Linked DNA regions of Macaca fascicularis. The protein of the gene in region 2 purifies or fractionates together with the protein of the main gene of each other region. This does not show direct contact. Links are inferred from orthologs where the notes say so. Each region holds a gene or a part of one and is shown on either strand. Other genes may lie near its edges.

Region 1 (4,305 bases), on a different chromosome or scaffold from region 2:
TACTTCAATCCGGGAGGCAGAGGTTGGGGTGAGCCGAGATCTAGCCACTGCACTCCAGCCTGGGTGACAGAGCAAGACTCCGTCCCTCCCAAAAAAAAAAAAAAAAAAAAAAAAAAAGAATACACACACAAAAGGCTAAACAGGCTTCCAAAGAAGGGAGTCGAGAATAAGATGTGTGACTTGCCAGTTATCTGCAAGAAGAAAAAAGATGTGTGAAGCAGTCTTTGAGAGTGGTGCCACACACTGGCCTTCAAGAGCTCCACGTAAAAGGGTTTATTGGGAGTTGTACAGATAGCCTTCTAGTGGCCAGGTGTACGTGGGTCATCCAGACCAAGATGCTATTAATATTTATGTCTGCATCAGTAAAAAACTGGTGTTATTCCAGGCAAACTCACACCTACCATAACCCAAATGTGGGCCATATGAAAAAGCCTGAGTGGCCTCGTATCTTCACTTTACAAGTCAGTCTCCCAGAGCTCAACAGGTATTGGCCTTCAAAGACCTCTTGTTGATTGGAGAAGGCTTTTTTTTTTTTTTTTTTTTTTTTTTAAAGACAGAGTCTCACTCTGTCACCTAGGCTGGAGTGCAATGGTGCCATCTCGGCTCACTGCAACCTCTGCCTCCCGAGTTCAAGTGATTCCCCTGCCTCAGCCTCCTGAGTAGCTGGGATTACAGGCGCCTGCCACCACACCCAGCTAATTTTTCTATTTTTAGTGGCGACGGGAGTTCACCATGTTGCCCAGGCTGGTCTTGAACTCCTGACCTCAGGTGATCTGCCTGGCTCAGCCTCCCAAAGTTCAGATTACAGGCGTGAGCCAGCATGCCCGGCCCAGGGAGGGCTTTTTTTTTTTTTTTTGGCGGGGGGCTGGGGGATCAGGTATAGAAACAGCTTGAGTGGTCTTATGTCCTGGTTTGTGAACTGGCCTCATCACCTGGAACAGCTTTCGGGGGAAGATCAAGCGTGGGTTGCACAAAACAGCTTTTGAGTGGACTTGATTCAGCCCCTAAATGCTCCTTAAAGTCTTGTCTGCTGGTGTATGAAATGACCTTGCAAAGGTCAGAATATAGGCTGTCATGTCCTAACCTCTCAGAGTGGTTTTTCTCCTGGATTTATAAACAAGACTAAGATGAATCTTATAAAAGGCTTCTTGTTGGCCGTATTAAACAAAAAGGAGCCACGTATAGCCTGTATATAACAGTCTGAAGACTCGGGCCTGGACTTTATAAATTCAGCATCCAGACAGAATTCACTATGCACACTAGCAAAGTGGGTTCCTGGTAGGTTACGGGATATATCCCTCTTGGAAACCACTGCCCTGCCATCCCAGGATTCTTTCAAATTATTTTTATTTTTTTTGAGACGGAGTCCCCTCTCACCCTGGCTGGAATGCAGTGCCCCAATCTCGGCTCACTGCAACCTCTGCTTCCTAGGTTCAAGCAATTCTCCTGCCTCGGCCGCCCGAGTAGCTGGGATTACAGGTGTGCACCACCACACTCAGCTAATTTTTGTATTTTTAGTGGAGACGGGGTTGCGCCATGTTGGCTAGGCTGGTCTCGTGAACTCCTGACCTGAAGTGACCGGCCTGTCTCGGCCTCCCAAAGGGTTGGGATTACAGGCATGAGCCACCGCGCCCAGCCTTAAATTATTTTTAAACATCAACTCCTCTAAAGCACCTCCCTGAGTATTCTTTAAGGTGGCTGGGTGGAACGGCCTCTCCGAGAGCCTCACTGTGATTTGCAGAGGGTCTCAGGGTGGGCACTCTGCGAGCACCATGCTGGTCATGAGAAAGCCTCTCAAAGGGGGCTTCCAGGACAGGTCAGCCTACATCGGGCTTTCTTGGAACAGGCAATCCAGTTCTCTAATCTCTTCAATGTTATTATGGCAGTATTCCACAAAACTTGTGCAAAAACAAGAGCTTTGTAAAACTTCCCAGAGAAGTTTGGAATTTTCCAGAGAGCTTTATTCATGGCACAAGGATCCCTTTGGCTCACGAAGGGGCACACAGTCTTGTGTTTGGGTCATCCGTGTGGCCCCAACGCCCGCGCACCTCCTGACCCCGGGCTTGCTCCCGTGTCCTCCCGAGCACGGCGATTCTTACCGTTGCTGGGAAACGCACCGATGCCCATCGTTAAGTCTTACCGAGCTACAAGCACCTTTCCTTAGGGCAGCCACACACCCAGGCCCTACAGGGTCCCACGTACCCCGCATTAGCCTTGAGCCCCCCGAGGCCTCAGACCCCCTTTCCTCCTCAGCGCCTTTCCCGGAGCTACATTTCTCGCGGCTCTTATCTGGGACCTGACGGCTGAATCGTTCCCAGCCGGCCTTGCAGCCCAGAGGCAGCGGCTGATTGCCCAAAACCAGCGAACACACACACACCAGAGCATACAATCCGCGCAGGCGCACTAGGGCTACACCGACTAGACGCCTAGAACCGCGAAAGCGCACAGCAGCCGGCCTTAAGGGCCTGCCCTCACGCATGCGCCAAACCACTGCCAGAAGACGAGCACTACGCACGCGCAGAGCCTTTCCCTCGCTCCAGCAGCGCAGGCCGGCTCAGAGCGCATGCGCCGACTCGAGCAAGCCTCGGGCTTTCCAAGGCGCACGCGCGAGGCCGGGCTTGGCTGCTTCACATGACGCCTGCGCGGTCTATGCCTCTGAACCCGGCCTCTCCACTTCTGAGGAACTGGAGCTGACTCCGCTCTCGAGTTGCTCAGACTAACCTCTCTTCAGCTGGGACGGTGTCGAGTCGCCTTTGGGCTGGCGACTACTCGTTGCTTTTGGTCCGACGACGCGGCTGTCTCCCCCCAGGAGTCAGACGCTAGCATAGGAGTATCGATCGCTCACCGCTCGTCTGATCACGACGCAGTGCCTAGAGGAGTGCCGAGTGATCGATGCCGTGGCCCCGCCCCACTCGCGTTTAAAAGACCAGGGGATGGACAAGACAGAGAAAGGCTGGGCTGTATCCTCCGGGTCCTTCCATGCCAGTGACACCCGCTTTTTCCTCTGCACAGATAACAACTTCGTACAAGGCTGTTTGCATCCACCATTTAATCCCTGCAGCTAGGATTATTAGTTCTCCCTATTTTACAGAGAGCGAAACTGAAGCTCAGTGATTAAAGTGGCCACATACTTGTACTTTTGGAAAGTCAGATCCACAATTACCCACGAGCAAGTGCTACATCCACAGTCTGTTCGAGTGAGAAGGCAAGTGGCCAGAGGACACACTCCTGCCACGTTTGCTTTGATGTCGAGTGGTGCGGGGTCACTGGGACTTTGTGTTTTGAGCACACTCTCCTATGGACTCCGCCTTTTGCAGCATTGCACAGAGGCATGGAAAGTTATGTTCATACTGAGCTTGGGGTCTGAGTAGGAAACAGGCTTGCTCAAGATCAGTTCATAGATTAGTGGATTCTAGGTACTGTGCTTTAAAAATATTAAGATTGTAGCTATTGTAATGATCATGATCGTCCCTATTTGAGGGAGTATGTTAATCCACTTTCACGCTGCTGATACAAAGACATACCTGAAACTGGGCAATTTACAAAGAAAAAGGGGTTTAATGGATTCACAGTTCCACATGGCTGGGGAGGCCTCACAATCATGGTGGAAGGTGAAAGGCACGTCTGACATGGCGGAACACAAGAGAAGATGAGAACCAAGTGAAAAGGGAAACTGTCAGTCCTCTGAGCCCAAGCCTGCGTGTATACATCCAGATGGTCTGAAGTAACTAAAGAATCACAAAAGAAGTGAAAATGACCTGTTCCTGTCTTAACTGATGACATTACCTCGTGAAATTCCTTCTGCTGGCTCAGAAGCTCCCCCACTGAGCACCTTGTGACCCCCACCCCTGCCGGCCAGAGAACTACCCCCTTTGACTATAATTTTCCATTACCTATCCAAATCCTATAAAATGGCCCCACCCCATCTCCTTTCACTGACTCTCTTTTTGTACTCAGTCCACCTGCACGCAGGTGAAATAAACAGCCTTGTTGCTCACACAAAGCCTGTTTGGTGGTCTCTTCACACGGACATGTGTGAAATTTGGTGCCGAAGACCCGGGTCAGAAGGACTCCTTCGGGAGACTGGTCCCCCGTCCTCTCCTCTGTGAGGAGATCCACCTACGACCTCAGGTCCTCAGACCAACCAGTCCAAGGAACATCTCACCAATTTCACTCTCTTCTCCAGCCTTTCTTGCTACCCTTCAATCTCCCTCTCTTGCTACCCTTCAATCTCCCTGTCCTTCCGATTCCAGTTCTTTTTCCTCTCTAGTAAAGGCAAAGGAGACACATTCTATCCATGGACCC
Region 2 (3,597 bases):
GAATCCCGCAGTATATATTCTTTTTTGTCTGGCTTCTTTCATTTAGTATAGATTCATCTCTGTTGTTGAATGTATCAAAAGGTCACTCCTTTTTATTGCATATCAATATTCATTCCACTGTATGAATTTGCCACAGTTTGTCCACTTACCTGCTGATGGGTATTTGGTTGTTTCCAGCTTTTGGCTGTTGCAGGTAGCTGCTATGAACATTTACATCTAAGTCTTTGTATGGATGTCTGCTTTCGTTTCTTTTGGGTAGAGACACCTGAGAGTAGAATGGCTGGGTCGTATGCTAGATGTCTTGTGCCACAGTGGTTGTACCATTTTACATTTCCATTTGCTGGATATCAATAGGCTTTGAAAATTTTCCACAGGTTTCTTCAAACCTATGCAGTATTAGACACAGCAGGCCCTTCACCATGTAAACCCATCTTCCCTGGACTGCCTCCAATAGTCATTTCTCTGTAGGGTAGAGACGGGTTGCTGGAAATGCTGAGGATGTTACTGCACATAAGTAACCCGTGTGTTCTCTCTAGCTGAACACTACCACCATGTCCAATGCTACGGCCAATAGTAGCATTCGGCCTATCTTTGGAGGGACAATCTACCACTCCCCTGTGTCTCGACTTCCTCCTTCTGGCAGCAAGGTTAGTATGCCCTGTGTCTAAGCACATCCTCACATGCATCCCTAGCCTGTTCACCCAGAGGCCCCACCTACTTGTTCTGGATTCTAAGATCCCTGGATTTGGTTCTTACTTTTTTTGTTGTTGTTTTTTTTTTGGGTTTTTTTGTTTGTTTGTTTTGTTTTTTTTTTTTTGTTTTTTGAGACGGAGTCTCGCTCTGTCGCCCAGGCTGGAGTGCAGTGGCGCGATCTCGGCTCGCTGCAAGCTCCGCCTCCTGGGTTTACGCCATTCTCCTGCCTCAGCCTCCTGAGTAGCTGGGACTACAGGCGCCCGCCACCGCGCCCGGCTAATTTTTTGTATTTTTAGTAGAGACGGGGTTTCACCGTGGTCTCGATCTCCTGACCTTGTGATCCGCCCGCCTCGGCCTCCCAAAGTGCTGGGATTACAGGCGTGAGCCACCGCGCCCGGCCTGGTTCTTACTTACATGCTGAGAGTTGACAGATATAAGCTAGCTCACCATTAAATAATGGTCCAAAATTAATGTGCAAAAAAAGAGAACAGTCACTCTGAGCCCCACTGGTATCATGAGAAGCACTGGGATGTCTGGGAAACTGAAGATCAGGCAGGGTCACTGTGGACTCAATTCCAAGCCCAGTCTTCAGCTGGTATGGAGCTAGGTCCCCTACATGTGGGTTCCAGCCCAGTGAAACCAGATCACTAGACATGCCAAGTACTCAGTAGAGATGTTGAAAAGTATGTGGTAAAGCACAGTCTTTCAAATATTTTATTAGACTATGCACAAGATAGGTGTTCTGTAAATCAAGAATTCATATTTTAAAAAATTTTTTTCTAGAGATGGGGTTCTGTTATGTTTCCCAGGCTGGTCTTGAACATGTGGCCTCAAGCAATCCTCCTGCCTTGGCCTCCCAAAGTGTTGGGATTATAGGCGTGAGCCACACCCAGCCCCATATATATATTTTTTTTAACTAAAAAGTATAGGATTCTAGACATGAATATAAAGATAGTCTCAGCCGTTGACCAGTGCAGGTATTGTGTGTGCACGTTCATTAGAAGGAGGATACATGGATCTCTTTCCTTTCTCTGCAGCCAGTTGCTGCTTCCACCTGTTCAGGGAAGAAAACACCCCGTACTGGCAGGCATGGAGCCAACAAGGAGAACCTGGAGCTCAACGGCAGCATCCTGAGTGGTGGGTACCCTGGCTCGGCCCCCCTCCAGCGCAACTTCAGCATTAATTCTGTTGCCAGCACCTATTCTGAGTTTGCGGTAATTCACCTTTTCTAATATCTACCAGTCTCTGGGGAGCACACAGTTGGGGCAGAGTGGGTATCTTCCCAGGGGCACCCAGGCTGTTAGCTAGGGCAGCTACCTTGGAGGCTGAGAATCCCTTTCCTGCTTTGACCATGGCGGGGTGGGTGTGATTTAAGGGGGGGTTGTATAGGAAGGAAGTTGGCAGCAGCAACTAGACATTGAACCTGGATCCTTCTGCTTAATATATACCATTCCCTGGCTGCGGGAGGCAACCCCTCTATCACTGCCCTGGTGCTCTCTTGGTGGAGTTCTTGGTAATTGTCTCAATTCTTTGTTCTTAGAAGGATCCGTCCCTCTCTGACAGTTCCACTGTTGGGCTTCAGGTCTGTATGGCAACCCCTGCACGTCCCATGTCCCTTTTCCAAACTGATCTGTCATCTGCTGGCTTCATTCATCTGGGCACAGGGCTACACTAACCAATAATCTCGGCAGTGTTACAAAGGAAGCAGGAATTCCTATCATGGACTCAAAAAAAACACATCTGATTTACATTCACAACAGATTAATAAGAAAATTTGTTCAGACTTGAATTGGATTCTCAGCCCCTAAAGTCAGGCAGTTTTAAATCGTGTTTTAACAGAAAACCTTGACCCTCCCCAATTGTGACATCAAAGGCCTGCAGTAGCTGGAAAGAATAGAGGCCCCATCACATGGGGAAGGGAGCCCCAGCTGTGTGCTGCCTACAATGAGGCTCTTGGCCTGTGTGCTGATTATTTCCTGGAGTATATGCCTTCCTAACCTCAGGGCTCAACTGCCAGCTCTGTCTATTCTCAGCTAGCTAATGCCGATTTCCTCACCTTTGCCTCTTTCCATACACTGAGCTACTGAAGCATAGATGAAGCATTGGAAGCAAGTTTTTCCAGAATGCTCTTCACTTCCTAGTATCCTACTCTATATCTGCTAACACCTAATTACACTGCCTTTTACTTAATCTATCTTCTCTTCTCTCAATATTTTACTAGCAAGAGGTGAGGATGTCCCTCACCCTTGAGGGGATGTTGAGTTAAACCCCTAGCCTGCCTCCCCTCTTAATTGCTGCAGGGATGGAGAATGGAACAGTTGGCCAAGGCTGCAGCTAATTTTAATCACTGAAACTGGCTTCCTACTCCAGCAAGTTTTTCAAATTACATGGCTGGTGGTGCTTCTACCTATAAAAGTGGGTGTGTGTCACTCTGGCTGACTGCTGGACAGAGGTCCAGCTTTCTCTTTTTTGCTTGTTCAACCAAGGCCCATTTTATCTAGTTGAGGCTTAAATGTACCTGCCTATCTCTGTGGCTAGTCCTAGGTAGGTTCATCTGGTTTGAGTTGGTAAGGCTGATAGACTCCACCAGGCAGCACCAAAGCCGGTAAACTAACCTCTGCTAATATCTGTCTTTCTCAATGGCCATTCATGCTTTATCTTTTGCTGCTATACCATGTGCTCCAGCATGAGATCAAATCACCAGCAGGTTACAAGGCCTCAGCCCCAGGGATTGGTAGATGTATGTTCTGGCCCATTGTTTTATAGAGGGCTTCAGGAGACCAAAGCTTGTTGCCTACTTGACGACTCTAAAGTAGCTTTGTGAAGTAGAGTCATGCCTCACTTAATGACAGGGATATGTTCTGAGAATGTGTGGGGCAATTTCATTGTGCACATATCAGTGTG

What was found. The genes of interacting proteins can lie anywhere in the genome.
Region 1: the proteins of RCCD1 (region 2) and KDM8 purify together in Homo sapiens (co-immunoprecipitation; 3 studies listed by BioGRID and IntAct, counting the BioPlex papers as one, with this or other methods). This does not show direct contact. The link is inferred for Macaca fascicularis from reciprocal best matches to the Homo sapiens genes RCCD1 and KDM8.

The regions. Positions count from the first base shown.
Region 1 is NC_088394.1:26,283,372-26,287,676, reverse strand, and holds the start of KDM8 (bifunctional peptidase and arginyl-hydroxylase JMJD5), read right to left. Parts: upstream 2,864-4,305; 5' UTR 2,722-2,863; intron 2,395-2,721; exon of another isoform or gene 2,203-2,394; intron 1-2,202. UniProt on the Homo sapiens protein: Bifunctional enzyme that acts both as an endopeptidase and 2-oxoglutarate-dependent monooxygenase.
Region 2 is NC_088381.1:75,521,503-75,525,099, reverse strand, and holds the end of RCCD1 (RCC1 domain-containing protein 1), read right to left. Parts: intron 2,276-3,597; coding exon of another isoform or gene 2,234-2,275; intron 1,908-2,233; coding exon of another isoform or gene 1,731-1,907; intron 648-1,730; coding exon of another isoform or gene 537-647; intron 463-536; coding exon of another isoform or gene 461-462; exon of another isoform or gene 387-460; coding exon 217-386; coding exon of another isoform or gene 201-216; 3' UTR 66-200; downstream 1-65. Other genes in the region: PRC1 (protein regulator of cytokinesis 1), read left to right, coding at 537-647, 1,731-1,907, 2,234-2,275. UniProt on the Homo sapiens protein: Plays a role in transcriptional repression of satellite repeats, possibly by regulating H3K36 methylation levels in centromeric regions together with KDM8.